Pelodiscus sinensis: one gene and its partners. The protein of the gene in region 2 purifies or fractionates together with the protein of the main gene of each other region. This does not show direct contact. Links are inferred from orthologs where the notes say so. Each region holds a gene or a part of one and is shown on either strand. Other genes may lie near its edges. The genes, in order: ATF3, CCAAT/enhancer-binding protein beta and ATF2.

What was found.
Region 1: the proteins of CCAAT/enhancer-binding protein beta (region 2) and ATF3 purify together in Homo sapiens (affinity purification with western blotting; 3 studies listed by BioGRID and IntAct, with this or other methods). This does not show direct contact. The link is inferred for Pelodiscus sinensis from reciprocal best matches to the Homo sapiens genes CEBPB and ATF3.
Region 3: the proteins of CCAAT/enhancer-binding protein beta (region 2) and ATF2 purify together in Homo sapiens (affinity purification with western blotting; 3 studies listed by BioGRID and IntAct, with this or other methods). This does not show direct contact. The link is inferred for Pelodiscus sinensis from reciprocal best matches to the Homo sapiens genes CEBPB and ATF2.

What each region holds. Positions count from the first base shown.
Region 1 is NC_134713.1:147,438,054-147,445,401, reverse strand, and holds the start of ATF3 (cyclic AMP-dependent transcription factor ATF-3), read right to left. Parts: upstream 3,033-7,348; 5' UTR 2,740-3,032; intron 2,727-2,739; exon of another isoform or gene 1,678-2,726; intron 1-1,677.
Region 2 is NC_134728.1:19,311,890-19,318,978, forward strand, and holds the start of CCAAT/enhancer-binding protein beta, read right to left. Parts: upstream 3,068-7,089; 5' UTR 2,867-3,067; coding exon 1,886-2,866; 3' UTR 848-1,885; intron 1-847. UniProt on the Homo sapiens protein: Important transcription factor regulating the expression of genes involved in immune and inflammatory responses. Also plays a significant role in adipogenesis, as well as in the gluconeogenic pathway, liver regeneration, and hematopoiesis.
Region 3 is NC_134717.1:44,025,647-44,033,631, forward strand, and holds the start of ATF2 (cyclic AMP-dependent transcription factor ATF-2), read right to left. Parts: upstream 3,007-7,985; 5' UTR 2,882-3,006; intron 2,875-2,881; exon of another isoform or gene 2,612-2,874; intron 1-2,611. UniProt on the Homo sapiens protein: Transcriptional activator which regulates the transcription of various genes, including those involved in anti-apoptosis, cell growth, and DNA damage response.

The DNA of each region.
Region 1 (7,348 bases), on a different chromosome or scaffold from region 2:
ACCAAGAATGTTCACAGTTTTAATGGAAAATATCATGAGAAATATTGTCCATGCTGGATTTTCATTAGTAATTGGAGGAGTTATTTTCAAATATCCACTAGCAACAAAATTTTGCTAGAATCCCTTTTATAACTTTATTTGCTTTTACTGATGTCTCCATGATTTAAGAGTAATGGGAGACTGTTTTCTACAGTCACCCTTGACTTCAGAACTTGCACTTCCCCTTGGCCTGAAATTGCCCAAGTCTCCTGACCTTCCAACATCCTGAAAGACACTGCTATTCATGAAGGGGCTGAAGATTGTGGGCAGGTAGGTTTGTGGGAATATTGTTTTGGGTTAGTTTTTCTTTGGTGGATTTTGCTGCTACTTTCAACTTTTTTGGTTTTGGTGACCTGTTTTGTAAGCTCTTTTGGGACAGAGACTGTCTTTTTGTCTTGTTTGTATAGTGCCTAGCCCAGTAGGGTTCTGCTCCATGGGGTTCCAGACACTATGAGAATACAAATAATGATAAATCAGAACCATATCAGAAGTACAGAGACTGTGGTCAGGGCCTACTTCAGGTGGAGGCTGCTTCAGCTGGATGGAGCATCCACCGCCCACAGCATGGCGGGCCAGGCTGAGCTGCAGCCTGCCTGAGGCTGGGGGCTAGTCCAGCTGGGCCTACCGCACTGCACCACAGGTGGGCGAGAAGTTGCTCCAGCCCAGCCACTAGTTAATCACTGACATCACTTCTGGGTAGACTACATCAGAAGTACAGAATGCTAGATGTATACTTGGTAAATAGATATAAAATTGTAATGTTGATATCATCCTCTGGTTAGAAACATTTTTTATTCAAGATAGAACAAGCAAAAGTTAAACATTTTGTTTTGCATCCTTTTTTCCCCAGTCATTTTCCTATAAATTATCTAAGGCTATAAGTTATTTGGGTCAAGGACCTGGTTCACTTTGTAAAGCACTAACACAATTGGACTTGCTCTATAATTAACCCAAGAAAAAAAATGACATCTAGGCCTTTCTGTTTAACTACAAGTCCATACAACTACATAGATCCCACTTGGTAAGGTGCTGAACATCTTTATCTTTCACTGAAGTGGAAGATGGAGGTGCTGAACACCCCACAGAATAGGACCACAGAGGCTCAATTCATCCCTGGAGCAAGTGCTCACTCCTCCATCAGAATCTTATGATCAAGACAAAATAATAAGTTTTACAAATAAGATCCCATTAGACAGTTTTGTTTCTATAACAGACAGGATACATTGCTAGTTATTCAGAGATAATTTTCAAAACTAATGCTTCCTTCCATTTATAGTTATTTTATTAATAATTTCCCCACTGCTTTTAGTTTTCCCCTCTCCCATTCTGAGAAGTTGTGTCAGGACACATTCTTGGAAGTCCAAACTAGCATTTATGTTATTTAAAGTGTGCTCAAGTTTAATGCTAATATTAATAATTAACACTTCAGGGCACCCTCACTCCTAGCTTCCATTTGGTTTAACTGCAGATGACTTAGCTGTATTTCCCTAGATAAATTCATTTTCCTCGGCTGCTGACGTAATAAACGATGAGAGCCAAACAGGTTAATCTGACAGGGCATTAAAGGGCAATTACCGTTCACAACCTCTGTGTACTCAAATTGGCCTTTAGGATTCTGACATTCCAGATCATAACTACCTCTTTTTCAGGCTTCGAACGTCTCTGCTGTTGTTACTACCAAGAAAATCGATTTCACACAGGAAACTGGTTCTGTGTGTAACAGTTTTCTGTTGCGTCGTCACTCAATCCTAGTTAGGCAACAGTTCAGCAACTGATCTTGTTCGGGTTAGTCGTCAGTGGAGAAAAAACGACGATTATTGTCTAATAGTGACTTTCTCGCTAATTCTTCATCCCCTCGCAGGATGACATGACTTCTTGTCTGTGTGTACTCTAATCAAAAGAGGTCACTGTTCCCCCAAAATAACAAAGGAAAAGAGCTTCATTTGGGAGTTATGTGTATCCTTCATCTCAACCGACACAGTCATCGCCGTTACCTCATTACAGAAGTCAGAGGGTGCCTTGAGCTTCGTCACTAACTTTTTTCTCTACATTACTTTGGCAAAACTTTGGCAGCAGCTCAGGAGCGATGGGCGTCCCGCCGACAAGCAGAGCCGCGCTCTTACTGTCGAGCGATGCGCCCCCCCCCCCTCCTCCCCGTGGCCTCCGGCGCTACCCCGGCCCAAGAGAAACGAATGAAGCAGCCAAGAGAGCAACTGCGGGCGCTCACATCGGCAAACTCGCCGCCCGGAAGAAGGGGGTGGCCAGATGCGACATCTGCCCCGCTCCACAAGTGCCGCTCCGGGCTCGACTGATAAAGCCCAAGGCTCCGGCCGGTGACGCGCAAGGGGGGCTCGGACTCCTGTGAGAACTTGTTCGGTGTCACAGGGGGCTCCCGAGCCGTGCCCGGGGGCAGGGCGCGTGCCAGGCTCCCAAGCGGCAGAAGGGGGGGGGGGTCTCTTTGGTGCGCGTGGCTCCAGGACTCAGAAACGCCGCTCTGCCCAGCGAGCTTTTGCTTTCACTTGTGGCTCTGCGGACGATCCGATCGCAAAGCCGCCAGCCCGCCCGACTGGCCCGGGCAGACCCTGTCCCCTGGCTGGGATCAGTCGCTTAGCAAAGTGCCGACGCTCCCGGGAGAACCAGCTGACTGAGTCGCGGTCTCCTCGCCGCCGCCCGCCCGCCTCCCTTCCCCAGCTCACTGACCTTTCCCCGCCGCTTCTCACGGCGCCTCTCCGCTGCCGGGACAAGCACAGAGGGGCCGAGCGCAGCGAGGAGCGAGCCCGCGCTGAAAGCAGGGGCTGCCCGCGTCTCTCGGGCTGGGGGCGCCGCTGCCGGGCAGTTCCGAGTTCGCCGATAGGAGAGCAGAGCCTCCTTCCCCGGACGCGCCTGAATCTGCCTGTGCGAGGGGTTGCATCACCCTCCTTATATAGGCGAGTGGGCAGCGCTGGTATTTACTCTGGCGGCGAGCGCCTGGCTGATGTCATGCTATTAATAGCCGGGCCGGAGGAGGCGGGGGAGCAGCGCGCACCGGGCGGTGATGCAAGACGCTCCCGGTCCCGGCCGGGAGGAGGAGCCAGGGAGCTGGCTGGAACGCACACGCCCCATAAGAGGACTGCTGCCGCCTGGGCGCGCCGCCAGATGTTAACTCCGGCAGCTGCGTGTCACCCTGCGGAGCCAATGGAGACCAAGCTACCTGCGTGACTGCGAATCGCTGGCAGCCTGCGGCGCCGGGATGGCAATGACAGACAGGCGGAATTAGGGGTAGAACTGGTCCGTTGAAGGGCTCCTTTGGGAAAGGCTTGGATTCTGTAGCCATTTAACGGCTGGAAAATCCCCCATCCGATCTCTCCGTGTGTAGGGGGGGAACGTGCAATTGTGCATCAGGCATTTGTGCGGCCCTTTAGCCTCCCTGCTACCGCGCCGCTGTGTGTGTGAACAGGGTGTGTACGAGCGCCAGCCTTGCTGGGCTGCCCCTGTGCAAGGGGAGCAGCGTGGGGCTCGCGCGTTGACACTGCCACAATCCGCGCCGGTGCCTCTCGCGCCTTCTTGGAAGTTTTCGTCCCCACTGGAGATTTAGCTGAGGTGTGCGAGGAGAGAAGGGCCGTAGCCCTCGGAGGGGAGGGCATTTCACTGAGAGACTCGAGGTCCTTTTGGAAAGGGCAGAAAGCCCAGGTAGCTTCCCCTCCAAAAACTGTCCGATCATGATTTCTAGAGAAGATTCACTTCTCCATTCCCTTCCCCCGTGCGGCGGGAACGTGCTTCCTCGGGCGCTTCGGCACGGGGCGTGTGTTATTCCGCATCTTCCCAGGCTTTCTTAGGAATCGGGGGTGTGGGCGAGAGGGGCTTTTTATTCAGAAAAGCAAAACCCTCTTTGCGCTAGTTTTTGAAGCTTGCAAAAGAATTGAAAATATGAGCTTCGTCACAGCGATGTGCTTCCCCGATTGCAGAGCCCCTAAATGGTCAGTGCACAAACTGAGTGGGCTGACGTTAATTTTTAGCCGGAAAGATTAAAGACCCCCTTTCCTGATACATCAGGGAGTTAAAAAAATAGCCTTTTTAAAACATAGCAACTAACATCCTTCTGGCTTCAGGGAGGAGAAAGACTGAAGCCTTACGGGGAGGAGAAGGTTTTCCTTTTTTCAGTTCACATCCTACTTTATTTTCTAACAGCCACGAAACAAAGTTAAGATATAATTTAATGCACTTCAGTATTCACGAAGACACGCACACATATACACAACATTATACTTACATATACATACAAAAATAGCATGAACACAACTTTAACTTGTAAACTCAGGCATTCAAGCCATGTTAATTCAGCCACTTTGTGTACTGAGTGTGTATGCATATTATGATATACATCAGTAAATACATACAATGTATTAACACGCAAGAGTACTACTTTAAGGTCTGCATTTAATAAGGGGCTATCTATGTGCATTGGGGATAATCTAACATTGATAACTTTAAAATTGTAAATGTCATGACTTTTGCATGGCTTCATTTCACAAATTTAAACACTTCATTAACAATGGCATTTTGCATTTAATTTCCTACTTTTTAAGGAGAATGGGGTGGGGTTAGACAGAGAAAATCTGGCTTGCATACTTTAGATCATCTTTGCAGTGTGTAGGTACATTTGTTCCTTGTAACACCCTGACCTGGTATAATTGGATTTATAGATTCTAATGCCAAATTCTTTATTCCAGTTATTTGTTCAGTTTTAGATCCCTTGCAAGTTCTAAAACATCAGTTGCTGCACACAACCTAACTGTGCACTCATATAGTTGTCACCCCTCTTTAAGTACACATCTGCAGGAACTGTAAATATCTCAGCCAGTTTACACCCTTCACAAGGTTTTATTTTTGTAAATCCAATTTTATTTTTGCAATTATTTTACTAACAACAACAACAAAAATTACTCTTTCTTGGGGACTGGGGACTTGTCTATGACTAGTTTCAAGCTTCAAACTTCAGCTGTTTTCTAAAGTAGCCTTGTAGTTAAATTGTTTATACAGCAAAGGGGTATTTTTTTCACTCATGCCACATCCAAAAATAGCTGGAAGGACTTTGCTCAGTCTCACAAAAAGACAGAAGGTAAACATGGAGAATTTCATCCCAAAATGTAAATGTTGTGGAAAGTTCTGGAAACATGGAGTTATTATGGGAAGCTATTTTGCTACATTACCTTGAGTGTAATACAGAAACTTCAGCAACTACCCAGAATTGTTTACCTACTTGTATTATCGATGGAATTTTATTTTGAACATTTTTAATTAAATTGAACAAAGTCACACAAATGAGGCAATTTGGAAGATTAAATACATTACTTCATCTTTCAGATTGGTGAGAAACACCTAACAAAGATAAATATTGTTAACCTGTTTTAAGTGTCACTAAAAATGGTCATGATCAGTGTTTCACAGGTATAATATAATACTAAGCAGACCGATACTTTTGCTTCATGCAGCTTCATTACTTCTACTATCATCATTGGCAAGGAAATATGTTTAATATGAAAAATGCTGTTGACCATAAAATAGGTATGTTATGTATTAAATTATTGATATGAGAGAGCTCCTCCCCTTAGAATAAACATAGAGGGAGAAAATATGCATGTTTTAAAGTTAGTGTTCTGTACACTATCATGGCATGAAATTCCTCAGTCAGAAGAAAATGAAACTATAATAAAAATGAAACCAAAGTTTTGCACTTTGTTTCATTAACATACAGGGCCCCACCCTGTTCCTATTTACTTCAATGTCAAATTCTCCTTGACCTCAGACAGCAAAGATGTAGGGTTTGTTCTGGTTTCAACTTAATATGAACTGATATATCCATCAAGAATGTGAGGATGTTAAAGCAAACAATAGATCCACAAGATGCTTAAATACTTTTGGTAGTTTTGCTTTTCAACTGTTCACAAATATTTTCCACCTTCCTTTATCTGAATATTCCCTGATCCTCTTAGGTTTCCTTTCTCTAGTGTTACCAGAAAACGCAGGGATCAATCTGACTGAAACAGTAATAGTTTCAGTGAGCTGAAGTCAGTTTTAATTATTATTGCTGGCTGTATCTAGACTGGCAAGTTTTTCCACAAAAGCAGCTGCTTTTGCAGAAAAAACTTGCCAGATGTCTACACTGGCCACTTGAATTTCCACAAGAACACTGACTTCCTACTGTCTGAAATCAGTGCTTCTTGCGGAAATACTATGCTGCTCCCGTTCGGGCAAAAGTCCTTTTGCGCAAAGCTTTTGTGCAAAAGGGCCAGTGTAGACAGCTCAGATTTGTTTTGCGCAAAAGCGCGTCTAGATTGGCACGGACGCTTTTCCGCAAAAAGTGCTTTTGCAGAAAAGTGTCCGGGCCAACCTAGACACTCTTTTCCGCAAATGCTTTTAACGGAAAACTTTTCTGTTAAAAGCATTTGCGGAAAATCATGCCAGTCTAGATGTAGCCGCTAAGTCTTGATCTAGGTACAGTATATGATCACCAAAGCATTTATAGCATTACTCACTGGGTATTTCTACAAAGAGCAATTACACTAACTCATAACCTGCTGCTCTGTTATTGTGGACTCTCAGAAAATCTCCATCCTGAATTGGCACAGGGAAAAGGATTCTTTCATTCACCATCTTCTGGCCCAAATCCTGCTTCTCCCACCTCCACACTTCATTTTCAGTGTCCATATCAGTAAAACATAAATATGGCCACCAGTAACATAGCTAAGCAATAAGGCTCAAATCCTCTTAGCAAAAGCTTTCTGCATTCCCTCTTCTATTAAACGTATGGAGCTGTAGGATATCTGCCAGAGAAAAGATATATAATCTGGGACCCAATTCTGATCTCTCATTTGTTGTTTCTGGTGGAGAAGCTTCATTAAGCAGTGGTATTACCTATGATTTCCTCTGGTATCACAGGCCTCATGAAATATAAATATATAAAATTTACTTTCCTAAATATCAGTCCTGCTTAATGACTTCTTAGATGAAATCTGATTTCCTGAGTCTTTTGTGGCTTTGCTACTGTTAAGTTTTGATATTACTATAAACATAAAAGACCTAATTTTCCTCTCCCTTCCACATGCAACTGAAGAACAACTCTGTTGAACTCAGCGGGGCTACAGCAATGTAAAGCCATCACAGAACTGGGCTCTTTAGAAGAGCTATTCTAGAGTATGCTAGGCTGTCATTTTGCTATGATTTCCCCTATATAGTGTATTTCTGTTCCAATACTGTACAGGCAGTCCCCGACTTACATCGGATCCGCACTTACGAACAGGGCTTCTCTCGCCCCGGATCTCACGGGCGG
Region 2 (7,089 bases):
TGCAGACTCTAGTTTTCCCTGCCCAGATAAGACTGCAACTGAAAATTAAAAACAACTCCCTCGTTATACTACATATTTTTGAGTAAAATCAATATCCGTAAACACCAAATTCAAGGCTGCTCCACACCCATTCCCAATCACTATCCTTTACAGTAAAGCATAAAACAAGTTCAGATCCATTACCATTAAGGAAACAGAACATTTGCATCCTACTGTAAAGTACAGCTATAGAAGGATTAAGAAAGTTCTTTCCTGGTAGTTTTTGACATCTGGATTTAGAAGATGGATGTGCATAGAGTCTGTCTAGTATGCTGGAAAATGCTGAATAAGACCTGAACATGTATCCAACTCCCAGCACGTAATCAGCTCTAGGCTGTAAAATAATATTTTACAGGCAGGTACACAAAAGCAAACTACAGAGAGCCAAGACATGTGCAACTCACAGACCTCGACAAATCCCACATCTGCTAGCAGAGCCTCTGTTATCTTTGTCACAAAGTCCTTAGGGCTCTATACATACATCCTCCTATACCCAACCTTTTACCCAAACCACACACCTGACCCATTCACTACCATCACCACCGCACTCACCTTTCAAGAACTCAACTGTATCAGCAGCATTTTTTAGAAACAGTTTTTAAAAAGAAGGCTCAGTAGGAAATTATAGGGAGCATTGTCCACACATTTCTCACTGAGCCTAGTTATGTGAGAGGTCCCCAGTTCACAGCCATCCAACACAAAAATGACATGTTATCACTGTTCATTGCTGTAAAACCCCCAGCATCAGAAATACTGAGTCATGAAACTGAGAGACTACAAAAACTTGAGCTTTAAAGAAAAATCCCACCTTATTTCAAGCTTTCTCCTTCTCTTTTTCTTTCCTCCAACCTCTCCCCTGCTTTAATCTTGTCCTTTGCTTGGAGAGACTTTGTCAAACATTTTTCATGGTTTGAATGGGGAGAGTTATTAGTATTTCAGAAAAACCCAAGCAGAATTTAACTCAAGGGGTTAGAGGAAATTAAGTGAGGCAGCAAGAGGGAACTGGCTGTGGTTCCCACATCTGGTCTTCTCTGGTTCTCTCATTTTTTTTTCTTTTTTGCTGAGTCACAGAGAGAGTCAAAAGGCCAACAAAATGATTCCTGACACAGCCAGATCTAGCTGGCATTTGAACTGATTTCATTCTGGCGTTAAAGTGCCTTTAAAATAAAACAAGTTTCCTTTCTTTCTTTTTTCCTAGCCATAAAGTTTATTAAAATTGTTCATTAATGCTTCAAATGTAGCAAGAATGTCTATAGATCCCAAAATATACATATGTATTTTCGTATAGAAATAGAATTATTCTTTATAATAAAAAAAACCGCAGGAACATCTTTAACAGATTACTCAATCCATGACTGACAGTTACACGAGATTGCATCATGTGTACGCAGCATTCCCAGCCATGTTTAAAGGGTTGCATCATTCTCTGCTTTTTCTCTCGCTCTGTTTTAAATAACACGAACATTCAACAAACTCTGCACAGACAGAGGAAGGGGAAGGGTGCCTCGGTGGGGTTGTAACATTACAAAAAAATTACCATCGGCAACTGTCATTCCGCCACAAGATGCGGAGGGCCCTGGCGCCCGCCAGGGGAGTCCCCCTCCTAGGACCAACACTCAGGCTGCGGCGGAAGTTTCTTCCACCGGATTGCAAAGAAAAAAAAAAGACAAAAAAACAACAAACCAAACCTTTAAGTCTCTCCCCGTGTCTTCCCCAGCCCCGGTCCAATCTGTCCTCATAGAGGGGGGAAAGCAGCTACCAGACCGCCCCCTCCCCCATCCTTCCTCCCCAGTTTCTCCCCCTCCAACCCCAACCACTGCGGCTCTAGCAGTGTCCAGCGCAGGGGCTAGCAGTGGCCCGACGTGGCCAGCAGGGGCTCGGGCAGCTGTTTGAACAAGTTCCTGAGGGTGCTCAGCTCCCGGGAGAGCTGCTCCACTTTCTTTTGCAGCCGCTCGTTCTCGGCGGTCAGTTCCAAGACTTTGTGCTGCGTCTCCAGGTTGCGCATTTTGGCTTTGTCCCGGCTCTTGCGCACCGCGATGTTGTTCCGCTCCCGGCGAAGCTTGTACTCCTCGCTGTGCTTGTCCACGCTCTTCTTGCTCTTGTTCTTGGAGCCCAGCGGCCCGGCGTAGCCCGCTCCGCCGCCGGACTTGGAGGAATCGGACGGGTTGGGGGTGCCGGGGGGGCTGGAAGAGGACGAGGTGGACAGGTTGCCGCTGCTGCCGTTTGGCACCGACTGGTAACCGAGGTAGGAGCGCATGGTGCTGCCGTAAGGGGAGGACATGCCCCCTGCGCCCGGCCTGGCGCCCCCTTCTTCCTTCAGGGACCCTTTGCAAGAGTCCAGGGACTCGAAGACCGGCTCCACTTTGGTCTCCACGATCTGGGACGGGAAGCAGGGCAGCAGCCCGCCCGGCTTATGGGCCTGGCCGGCGCCCGGATGGCAGTGCCTGGCCAGGCTGATGTAGGTGAAGTCGGGCTTCTTGCCGCCGCCTTTATAGTCCTCGGCGAAGAGGTCGGAGAGGAAATCTTGGCTGGCGCCGCTGCTGCAGGGAGGCTCAAAGTTGCCCCCTGCTGCTGCTGCAGGCGGAGGCTGCGGCGGCGGCGCCTGGGATGCTGCTAAGGGGTCCAGGTAAGGGCTGAAGTCGATGGCTCTCTCGTGGTCCCCTACGGTGAGCTCGGTCATGGAGCGGCCCCCTGCCGCCCGCGGGTGCAGCTTGCTCAGCGCAGCCAGACAGTCCGCCTCGTAGTAGAAATTAGCTACTTCCATGGATTTAAAGGCGGGTGGCTGGATAGGGAGGCATGCTGGGTCCCAGGCCACCAGGCGTTGCATGAAAGCAAAGGGGAGTGCAGGGAGGAGGAGACAGCGCAGGGGGCCCCCCAGCCGCGGGATCAAGCTGCCGAAGGTGATGCGGGGGCCTCCAAATCCTGCCTCGGTCTCTGGGCTGTGCTGCCCACCTGGGCTGGCTCAGATCCGGCGGCGGCTGCTTCTCTTTCTCCGGACCATCTGGTTCTAGGTCCGAGTCCTAAAGTCTCTGACTTAGGAAAGTTCCTTTGCTGTTATTTATAGGGGCGGTGGATCCCATGGCAACAGGGACGTCACTGGCTGGCTGGCTGCCACATGGTGCACACTTTGTACAGTTGTACCGAGTGCCTCTCGCTCCGCAGGAGGCACTTGGCGTGTGGGACTCTGACCTCGTCATTCACCGGGGAAGCAGGGCAGGCGTCGCAGCCGAGGGGGCTCGTTTTCACCCTCAAGGAAGGGAGGGAAGATTTGGGCCAGAGACAGGGAAAACCGCCTTATACTTTTGCCAGCTGCTGTCACATCTACAGGCGATGTCACTGGACTATAATCACTCCTGATGGGACCTTCCGACATGGACACAGTAGCTCACACAGGGGGACGTTGCATCTGCCCATGTATCAATATGGACTAAACCCTTTTGCCCCTCTCCTCCCATCTAATATGTCCTCAGAGAGGAGGGGGAAAAGCAGATACCAGATTCCCTTCCCCCCCATCCTTCTTCCCCAGATTTCAGCCTCTTTCCCCTGCTTCCCCAATGCAAACCACTGGGTGTCCAGCTGTGGGACTAGCAAATGGCCAGATGTGGCTAGCAAAGGCCAGTAGGAGCTGGATCCATTGCATCTAAGGCTTATGATATCTGTAGATTTCGTCTGTAGGTCTCAACCTGTTTTACTGAGGTGGGTGAGTGTCTGTATCCCCATTTTACATACGGGGAAATTAAGGCACAGAGGTTAAGGGATTTGCCCAAGATAACTTAGCAAATCAGAGGTAGAGCCAGGAATAGAAGCCAGATCTTAATACCAATTCAATGCTCTGTGAATTTTATGGAGCTGGCAAGCAGAATTATCCCATACAGACACATTCAGAACTAGCTTGCCACAGTGGGTGTAAAAAGCATGTGGTATTGGGCGCAAACCAGGGTAAGGCACTGCCTCAGAAGAAGACCAGCAATTAGAAATGGTAGGCAAATCCAAAACTCCCCCATCACCTCTGTGTGCAGGGCTGACGGCCTTAATGTTTGGCCTGGCGTGTTTGCCTTATGTAGTATGTTGCAATTGTCAGAGTACACAAGTGATATGGAGTTTGTGCTCTTGCAGCTGTCTTTAAAATAAACGGGGGAAAGTGAGATATATTTGTGTCAAGGGACAGGATGCAATGATTTATTAATATATTAATGTATAAAGTAGCATTGACTTGGAGAGGCAATGGTAAATTTGTAAGAATACATTTTTATGCCTATTTTAATTAAAGACACCCACTTTGGGAATCAAACTTGCATTTTCCCTGTTACTCCCACATTTAAGGAACTGTATTTAAAATAAATGGGGGAAAGTGAGATATATTTGTGTCAAGGGACAGGATGCAATGATTTATTAATATATTAATGTATACAGTAGCATTGATTTGGAGAGGCCATGGTAAATTTGTAAGAATAAATTTTTATGCCTATTTTAATTAAAGATACCCACTTTGGGAATCAAACTTACATTTTCCCTGTTACTCCCACATTTACCTGTATACAAGCTGGTGATTCATGCTCAGAATAAAAGACATCAATTTAAAACAAAACATATAATTAAAGGAAGTAGGAGTGTCCTTCATTTCAGTAAAGAAGACCCAGTACTGCAGAGAAAATGACACTGCCTCATAGAATAATGTGAAGCAATCCTGCGGTGTGGGAAATATTGCAACGTTAAGCCAGAGGAACAGGTATTGCATTATACAATTCAAACAGTCAACTGTTCATGAATGTTCAAACCTCAGACTTTGAAAAGAGGAAGAATTCAAAAATCATGCTATGAACCATTTTCTTTCTTTCTTTCTTTCTTTCTTTCTTTCTTTCTTTCTTTCTTTCTTTCTTTCTTTCTTTCTTTCTTTCTTTCTTTCTTTCTTTCTTTCTTTCTTTCTTTCTTTCTTTCTTTCTTTCTTTCTTTCTTTCTTTCAACTTCAATAGCAAAGGTACACTAAAAGGTTTGTAGACTTCCAATATTTCTGTCTTTATGCAGTAGTTTTTGGTGAATTACATTTACTAATAAGCACATTTAGGGTATGTCTACACTGCGGGGGGTTTCTGGGATACCTCAGAAAAACTCTGCCACGTCCGAGGAATGTGTTTGCTCTTCCACCTTCTTTTGCAGAAGAGCAAATGCTCTCTTTCAGGGAACCCTGAATACCTCGTTCTATAAGGGATAAGGGATCCACCAAAAGAGGAGGCTTTTCTACCATTTGGCCCCATCTGGACTGGGCCAAATGGCAGAAAAGCCGCTTCCGGAAAAGTGATCGGAAAAAAAATTGCGTAGCTTTTTCCAACAAAGGACTGTAGTCTAGACCTAGCCTTAGTTGTAGAGCCGAGCTTGGACAAAGAATCCTGGATTCAGGTCTGGATCTGAATGTTGTGACTTGAGCCTATATCTGTATAGATCCAAACATCTCTACACAATGGAAATATTGGTAAGTTGCAGTGAGCCAGGGCTGCTTTTATGGTTATTTATATTCACATTCTGTGTTTTCATGCTCTTCAGGAGTTTTTGCTCTAGAAAGCTGTTCTATGCAGGTATTGAGAAGTAGATGCTCCTATTAGAGGGTGCTGAGCTCTGGTTTTTTCTCCAAGATGAAAGTGAAAGTTGCAGCACTTTTTATTAAGGCTCATCCAAAAAAGTTTTTGAAAACATTTTTGAAAGAAAACTGGGTTACTGACAAGAAGACATTTTTTGAAGTAAATGTCTGCTTGTTTAGAATATTTTTTGTTGTGGGGATGGGGAAGGCCTGAATTTTATTCTTTTTTTTTTTTTTTGTTCAAAATAAGTCATTTTTGAGAGAAGAAAGAAAGAAAGAAAGAAAGAAAGAAAGAAAGAAAGAAAGAAAGAAAGAAAGAATGACCCCCAATTCCCAACCAGCTATTTCTAATGCAATAAAACACAAGTTCTCACTGCTTTGTTTGAAGAAGATGGATGCAAACAGCGAAAGAGTGAAACAAAATGAATATAAAAGAAAAAAGACAAAGAGAACACAGCCTATTCCGATCTGTTTTACAGAGATCACTCTGGCTACGTCTACACTGGCACCCTTTTCCGGAAATGCTTAAAACGGAACAGTTTTCCATTATAAGTCTTTCCGGGAAAAGCGTGTCTACATTGGCAGGATGCTTTTCCGGAAAAGCACTTTTTCTGGAAAAGTGTCCGTGCTAATGTAGACGCGCTTTTCCGCAAAAAAGCCCCGATTGTCATTTTCGCGATCGGGGCTTTTTTGTGGAAAAGAAATCTGTGCTATCTACACTGACCCTTTTCTGGAACAGTTTTCCAGAAAAGGACTTTTGCCCGAACGGGAGAAGCATGGTTTTTCTGGAAAAGCACTGATGATTTTACAGTAGATCGTCAGTGCTTTTCCGGAAATTCAAGGGGCCAGTGTAGACAGCTGGCAAATTATTCCGGAACAGCGGCTGATTTTCCAGAATAAGTGGCCAGTGTAGACACAGCCTCTGGTTTTCCCAGCCTATCTTGGATTCTGCTCCCTGATTCACAGCTCTACTGTAGCATCACAGGAGCACCTGGTTTCCCAAGCTCAGATCCATGTTTTCCCAAGCTCAGATCCATGCCAAAGCATTGCAGAAACTTTTCACTCAGAGACTTGCTCTATCTTGATTTACAGTGGTTCCAAGATCTCCAATTCTGCATTCCCATATCTTTCTACAGTCCAGAAAGAGCTGCTGTCAGCGTTGGACAGACCACAACTGTATAATGCCAACAGATCAAAGAGTGAAGAGTTCATAGGAAGTTCTGCCTACCAAAATGTCACTATTTACTGCTCTGTAGTAAGAGTCGGACTGCATTTGTATAAAAACTCCAAATACTTCCCACTGCAAATTGTTACCTTGTTCTTTATTACTTGCATTGCAATTAGTCATTAGAGTTCTCAGTGAGATCAGGGCTCCACTGTACTGGGCACTGTACAGACATATAGTAAGAGGCAGATTCAGTCACAGTGTTGCAATGTAAAAGGCAAGACAACACTTCAAACAAACAGGAGGAGAG
Region 3 (7,985 bases), on a different chromosome or scaffold from region 2:
AGGGCGGACATTGACTAGTCAATTGACTATCTGATAAGCATTTGCTTATCGGATAGTCAGCTAGTTGACTAGTCTTTAATATCCCTAATAGAAGTGTAAGTTAACAGTGTCCGATACCATGAAACTCTATATTTGGTGTACACACACACACACACACACACACACCAGTAACATCCCATAGCTCCAAGGAGGAACATGGACCTATGTGTACCAAGATGCAAGAAAGCAGTACCTGCCTACAAGGGCTTACAGTGTAATTTAAGACAAGACATAGCAAGAGAAAGTATCAAGCAACACGGAATGGTTGAAGAGACTACAGGGTCACTGTAATAAGATGATGCAGTTAAATAAGCTAGCTAATGCACACAACTTGACTTCAGGAAGTATCATCATATTATGCTTGTCACAATGAAAGTCTTCAATGGGTTCTTTACAAATGGGAATTTGATAAACATTTTTTGAAAATGGAAGCATACTAGGACGAGTTCAGATTAAATTTCAGAAAAGCAATACATATCATGAAATAGATAAAGATTGGCACATGGCTTTTATTTGTGATCACAAATATCCACAGACAAAAAAAAGATGAACTACAATGGCTAAAAATGGAATTAAATCTTGACATAACAGGCACATCAGAAACATGGCCAAATGTCAAAAGTTAATGGAATACAGTATTATCTGGGCATATCCTATCCAAGAACAAACTGTGTGGGAGCAGCAGTGAACCCATAAAGATTTAATATAATCAAATAAGATAAAAATTTCTGAGTAAAAAGGAGGATACATGGCAGAATCTGTATAGTTATAAAATGCCTAGTGAAGACTACAGATATCAACAAAATTAAACTTACCAACCTCTAAGTCTGAGTAAAGACATTGTGTGTGCAATGAAGATCAAAATATTAATGTACAACTTTAACTACCCAAATATAAAATGATAAATAGGTTTCCTACCCTCCTGCACAAAATGCATTTTTATTAATGTAAATTTCTGACAGTAACCTTTAATGTAACAATAAGCCCCAATAATGTTTTAGATTTTTTTTGTTCAAGTTCACTCATTGCAAAAAGGCCCTTTGAAATATGCTAAGTGTTATTTTCATGGCGCTTTAGTAGATTTTATAACTAAGAGATTAGAGCATTATTCTACCTAATCCAGTAACTTCTTCTCTGGTTCTAGTTCCGCAAACACTTGCTTTAAATAATTGAGCTACTACCAGTAATGAAGTAAAGTTAAATTTATGCATAAGTGTCTGCACTATTGGGCCTCTAATAGCAGCCACTACCAGATACTTCAGAGAAAGGTTTAAAAAAAGTCTTGCATTTCACAATTATGGAAACACCTGTCCACAGGGTTCCCCCCCAGCTGCTACTGGTTGTCTTATACTCTAAAGCAATAGCTGTTTTCCCCTCCTAAAATATTTCAAATGGAAGCACAGAGCTCTTTGGAAATTTTAGACATGGTTTGCAGTTCCCCACGCCCCCGCAGGAGTCCATGGACCACAGGCTGAAAACCACAGCCATCGAGCATAATTTGAATCTTATACCTTTTTACCTTATCTAAACTAAATGTGGATATTCTCAGTAGACACAAAAATGGCTATTTTAATCTGCCTAAACTCTTGCACTCAGAAATTGCTTCTGCTGTTGTCCCAAACTAAATCCAAGATTCATTGACTAGGATATAAAGGGAATAAAGATTTTACTAAAGGCAGGGAAAGGATGGAAGATAGAAAACAAAAAGCTCAGAATTCAATTATTTGGAGAAAAAGATAAGCATAGAATTTACTTTTTTGGGGGGGGGGGGGGAGAGAGAAAAGGCATCCAAATTACATGAGATACAAGAGTATCCCAACTCATTTCATTTGCAAAGACAGTATTATTTTGTGTGAGGGAAACCAAAAGATTGCAAATTGTAAAATAAATTTACTAGGTGGTGGGAGTGGACATGACAACACATTAAGTTCCTAGTACCTACAATAGTGAACAATCCTGAGGCAAGAGATGGGCCCCTCAGGGAAGATGTTCACAACCTTCAATATAACTATCATGCTTTGAATGTCTGGGCATCAGCTCTGCCTCTCATAAAGAGTCCTCCAAAATGGGCCACAATAAGTGAAAGGTTATTGAGAGGACCCTAAAGAAAATACCTACAATTGGCAGCACAGTGTCGAGCTCCCACTCAACACAGTCACAATGGTGATGTGCCCCAGCAGAGCACTACAACCCAGGCCAGGCTGGAAGTAGGTACAGGCCACACAATCGCATCGGCACTTACGGGCAACAGAGCGACAGCCCCCTCTCTGGCTCTGCCCTCCCCTTTTAGCACTTGCTGAGGGCACCTGGGTCTCCTCTCCCTCCACCCGCCCCTCTCTACTCTCAGGCAGTCACAGGCGAAGAGAGGAACCTTCCCGCTTCTCCTTTGGCTCGGTCCCGTCGCAGCAGGGGAAGGGGCAGGCCCACTTTACCCTTGCAGGGGAGAGCGCCCCCAGCGCCCCCGGGGACGGGTGGGAGCCGGCTGTATCTATCAGGGCAGCCCGCTTCCGGGGAAGAAGCCTCGCCCTGCTCCCCAGCCCCCTCCTTGGGGCAGCCGCAGGGACCAGCCTACCTCGGGGGCGGGTAACAGTCTCCTGCGCGCTGGCTCCGGCCCGAACCCCGCGGCTCTAAGGGTGGCGGGGGCCACAGGCGGGGGTCTCCGTGGAGAGCGGCGGCGCCATGTTAATACCTCCCGGGCACCCCCACTTAGCCCAGCCCAGCCCGGCCCGGCCCACGCCGCCCCCTTCCCTCGCCCGCTAGGGCCGAGGCGCCGCTACCCACAACACCCCGTTACAACGCGCCAGAGGCGCTGCCCTTCGCCGCGCTCTGTTTACAAACTCACCCGGGGAGAGGGGCCGAACCGCACATTAAAGGCCGGGTCCCCCATAGGCTTCCGTCCCTTCTCGCGATAACTCACTGGCATCCCCCCCTCCCCAGGCCGAGGGAAAGGGGTCACGTGATCCACGGGAGTTGCAGCTGGCGGTAGCATAGAGAAGGCCCCTGATTGGTTTGCAGGGTGGGGCCCTCTAGTGTCTGGTTGGCCGGAAGCGCTCAATTGTGGGGGCGGGGATGGACGCCTGTAGGTGGCGTTTTGCTAAGCTGGTCTTCTCAAAGTCGAGCGGCTGGAAGGGCAACGTTAGCGCCGCGTCTCTAACGACTGGCCCAGGGCTGCTCCCGCGTCCGGGTTAGAACGGAAGATAATGCGGGGGAGGAGGGGCATGACAGAGGAGATTTAAAATCGACCTCGTGACCGTTTTGTGGTAATTCAAAGTGCATTGTCTTTGGGGGCAGGGGCCGTCATTTTGTTCTGTGTACAGCCCTGGCAGCACAGTGGGGTCCGGGTGGGTCCCTGACTGAGGCTCATCGGGGCTATGATAATACAAATGAATTATGTTAATTAGTGTTACCCCACTCACGTTAACTCTCTACTATCCTGGGCCTAACACAAGGGCAGCAACACTGCAAACAACGGTTGTTCTTTGAGACCCTGTGGGATAAAGATTATAGTAGGAGCTTTATATAAATGTAAAATAATTTGTGATTGCTCATTGGGCTTGAAAGGCTCAGAGCAGGAAGCAATGGGGATCTTATACTTTCCAAATAATAGATGCTGGGAGTGCTAGAAGTGGTTTCCATCATAAACAGGGTTTGTTAAGTGGTTCTCAAAACTCTTGACTGTAGAGGCTGTGTCTAGACTGGCAAGTTTTTCCGCAAAATCATCTGCTTTTGTGGAAAAACTTGCCATCTGTCTACCCTGGCCACTTGAATTTCCGCAAAAGCACTGACGATCTCATGTAAGATTGTCAGTGCTTTTGCGGAAATACTATGCTGCTCCCGTTTGGGCAAAAGTCTTTTTCTGAAACACTTTTGCGTAAAAGGGCCAGTGTAGACAGCAGAGATTTCGTTTCCGCAAAAAAGCCCCGATCGCAAAAATGGCGATTGGGGCTTTTTGCGGAAAAGCGCGTCTAGATTGGCCACGGATGCTTTTCCGCAAAAAGTGCTTTTACAGAAAAGCTTCCTGCCAATCTAGATGCGCTTTTGCGAAAATGCTTTTAACGGAAAACTTTTCTGTTAAAAGCATTTCCGGAAAATCATGCCAGTGTAGACGTAGCCAGAAAGTATACCAAGCCAACACCCTTGTTCCAACTATACCACTTTTCTTTCATAGCCATTAGCGCCAAGAGATAATTTGTTCTGTGGGGACAGGAGGTAAGAACAGACAGAAGAGGAGAGACAAAGGTGGATCAGAGACCGAAGACTGCCACAGATGTGTGCCACTGGAAAAATCTGTACAGTAAGGCTACGTCTAGATTGCATCCCTTTTTCGTAAAAGGGATGCAAATTAGACGTATTGCAATTGCTAATGAAGCGGGGATTTAAATCTCCCCTGCTTCATTAGCATAAAAATGGCTGCCGCTTTTTTCAGCACGGAGCTTTGCCAGAAAAAAGCGCCAGTCTAGACGCGGATCTTTCGGAAAATAAAGCCTTTTCTGAAAGATCCCTTATCCTCTTATTTAGAAAAGAGTGATCCATTAAAAAGGAACAGGATAAGTCTTCTGGTTAAGCTTATTCAGCATGGATAAGTGATCCAAAGTTAGATACTATCTCATAATAGCAGATTGAAGTAATTCAGGATTACTTGGCAGGTTGTCTATTGAAATTATAGTGTGTAATCATGCCCAGAGGTTATCCTAACTTAATGCACAGAGGTAGAAGTGAAGTCATGTTACAGTGTGAGCATTTGAATGAGCAGATGCTTTAACACTGAGAAGCGAGGTAGGCGTACTGCCGGACAAATCACATTTTAATTTGGACCAATTCCCAATGTTATCTGGAAGAGTATCTTGGATACAATTTGGTTCTGAGTCCATTGTGGCAGGAAAGCAAGAGTTGCGTTGCTCAACTTTTACTAATAGGTAGAAGGGCATGGTTTTGGATATATAAATATTCTTATTGCAGGGGTTTGGAGTAAACTAATAAAAGTTGCAGTCATTTGTTAAACCAAAAAAACAATGTTCAGAGCCTTTATTTACAACATGGTATAGTTGTAAAAATTAGCTAAGGCATGCTCAAGAAGCAAAATGACCACTGAATGACTAAATAAAACAAATGTATAAACATATGACAATTATGTACAAAAATTACACTTCAAAACTGGTAGGGATCTGGAATACCAAACTATATAATAATTTCATTATGCCTTATGAAAATTCTGACAAGGAAGAATTTAGAAATTTTCATGTGCAGGCCTTATCCTCATATCATTCTTACCTACTGACACACAAGGAGTATTTTCTGAATTATAACTAGAAAAACTTTATAATTATTGAATTTGTATTTTCCATGCTTTTAAATATAATCGTTAGTCATTATGGGTGCGTCTAGACTGGCAAGATTTTGTGCAAAAGCGAGTGCTTTTGCACAAAAACTTGCCAGATATCTACACTGGCAGCTTGAATTTGCACAAGAGCACTGACGTTCTAATGTAAGAATTCAGTGCTTCTTGCACAAATACTTTGACACTCCCGCTCAAGGATAAGCCCTCTTGCGCAAGAATACTTGCGCAAGAGGGCCAGTGTAGACAGGCACCTTAATTTTTTGTGCAAGAAAACCCGATGGCTAAAATGGCCATCAGAGCTTTCTTGCGCAAAAGTGCGTCTATACTGGGCACGGATGCTTTTGCGCAAAAACATCCGTGCCAATCTAGACGCTTTTTTGTGGTAATACTTTTTATGGAAAAACTCTTCCGTTAAAAGTATTTCCGCAAAATCATGCCAGTCTAGACACAGCCTTAAATGTATGTGATCACTCTCAGCATTGCTCCAAGTTTTTTCACTTATTGGCCAGTTTGGTTCCTGGCAATTTTGAGGGACTAGGTCACTTCTGTCAACAATCTCCATAGGGGTCAGACAAAGTTGCTAAATACCTTGTATTCTATGAAAATGAACCACAGGGAATGTACCCAGAAATCGCTACATTTCAGGGTTACACCAGCATCATCATCAGTATTGATGTACACTGAGTGCAACTGCCCACGTGTAACACTCAATTGTCATTGTTCTGTATGACCGAGCTCTAACAACTTGTGATGTTCAAAATTAGACTGCGGTGATTTTTAAGTTGACAATGTCCTTTTAAATAAAATACAAAATGTTAGCTAAAACATTTTGAATTTTAATTAGAAAATTCCAGCAACTACAGTACTAAAAGCATCTTTGTGGCTGATCCAAGACAGCAAGGAAAGTTTTATAAACGAAGCAGGAAAATGTTATGTAATTTAAACATTGCTTATTGCTACACTGAAGTGGTAGATATATTTTTAGCTCTTCAAAATGCAGTCATAAGTTTTACAAATACTTGGACTGCAAATTATATATATAACAAAATGTTAGTGTTATCAGCAGAACAAAGTGTAGTCCACATGGTCACCTGAATCCAATTAATATTAGTGAGTCTCACAGTTAACAGGGCAATGAAATTTCCTCAAGACTACAATGCCTAAATAGGGCTGGCTGGTATCCGGTTTTGAACTGGAGAGTCCAGTATTTGAGCTTTCTGTTCGGGAAACAAATTGAGAAAATATAAATGTCCAGTATTTTCTAAATAAGATGTAATGTAGATTGTGATTTAATGTCACAATTTTTGTTGAAACCATCCGGCAACCTTATGCCTAAAATGTAATGGGGAAAACAAAAGGATCTTTCTTTACAAGTTTGTCTTTTTGAACTAGAATGTTTATGTCCTTAAACAATGCAGCAAAAAAGTATTGCTATAAATTTTAACTGTTTCCTTTAGTTATGTAAATTTTTATTTTAATTATACCTAAAGCAATAGCTCAATTACACGTAAAAATTGAATCTATATTTCACATTTAATTGACGTATCTGAGGCTTGTTGATCATTAAGTGACAGTAAGTATTCCATAATGGGTCAGACAATGTCGACTCAAATCGTATTTCCATCTGAAACATTTAACTTTCGTAGATACAAATGTAGCAGCTAAAATTCCTCTGAGAATAAAGAATAAAATGATTTTTTTCCAGTTTGTCAATTAGTGAATTATCTGACCTCTCAGTCCTCATCCTCAAAGGAAATCTGTGCATCATCTTCAAAACACAAACATGGGAGCTTAAACTCACAACTTTGTTAGACTAAAAATCATGGACTCAGTAAAGACAGTGTTTTACATGAGCCATACATTCAATCTATAATTCACCCAATCCTCCTTCTTTGTCCTCTGACTACATAAGTGTTAATCCTCCAACTTCACCTTGCATGGGTGCATTACAACATTTGTGATGCTAAACAATCTGTCCATCTTGTATTTAGCTGTGATACTGTGAATACTTTCCCCAGACATGAAGAAGAGCTCTGAATAAAGTGCAAAAGCTTGTCTTTCAACAGCAGAGGTTGGCACAATAAAAGATCTCACTTCCCCCATCTTGTCTCTCCAATTAGTTGTATAATCATTATCACAGAAAAAAGAACAGGAGATGCATGAGAAGTGTCTGCAAGCATGTTTGGTAATGTTATGTATGGGTCCACCAAAAGAACCCTTTAAATAACAGCAGACCCAGGACTGTTTTTTTTCAGTGTGTAAAGTGCTTCACACAATGAGGTCTTAAGACATGACTGGGATTCTTAAGCTTCAGGGGGTAGCTGAGTTAAGTTTGTACAGAAAAAAACAACAAATAGTCTGGTAGCACTTCATAGACTAAAAAACATGTAGATGGCATCATGAGCTTTCGTAGGCAGTCCATTCTGGTCATCTGAAGAAGTGGGCTGTGCCCACAAAACCTCATGATGCCATCTACATGTTTTGTTAGTCTATGAAGTACTACCAGATCATTTGTTGTGAGATTTTTAACTACAGCAATACAAATTAAAAAAAAAAAACCTTGTTAAAAACACCCTTAGAGCCATATTTTTTCCAAGAGTTCTGTTAA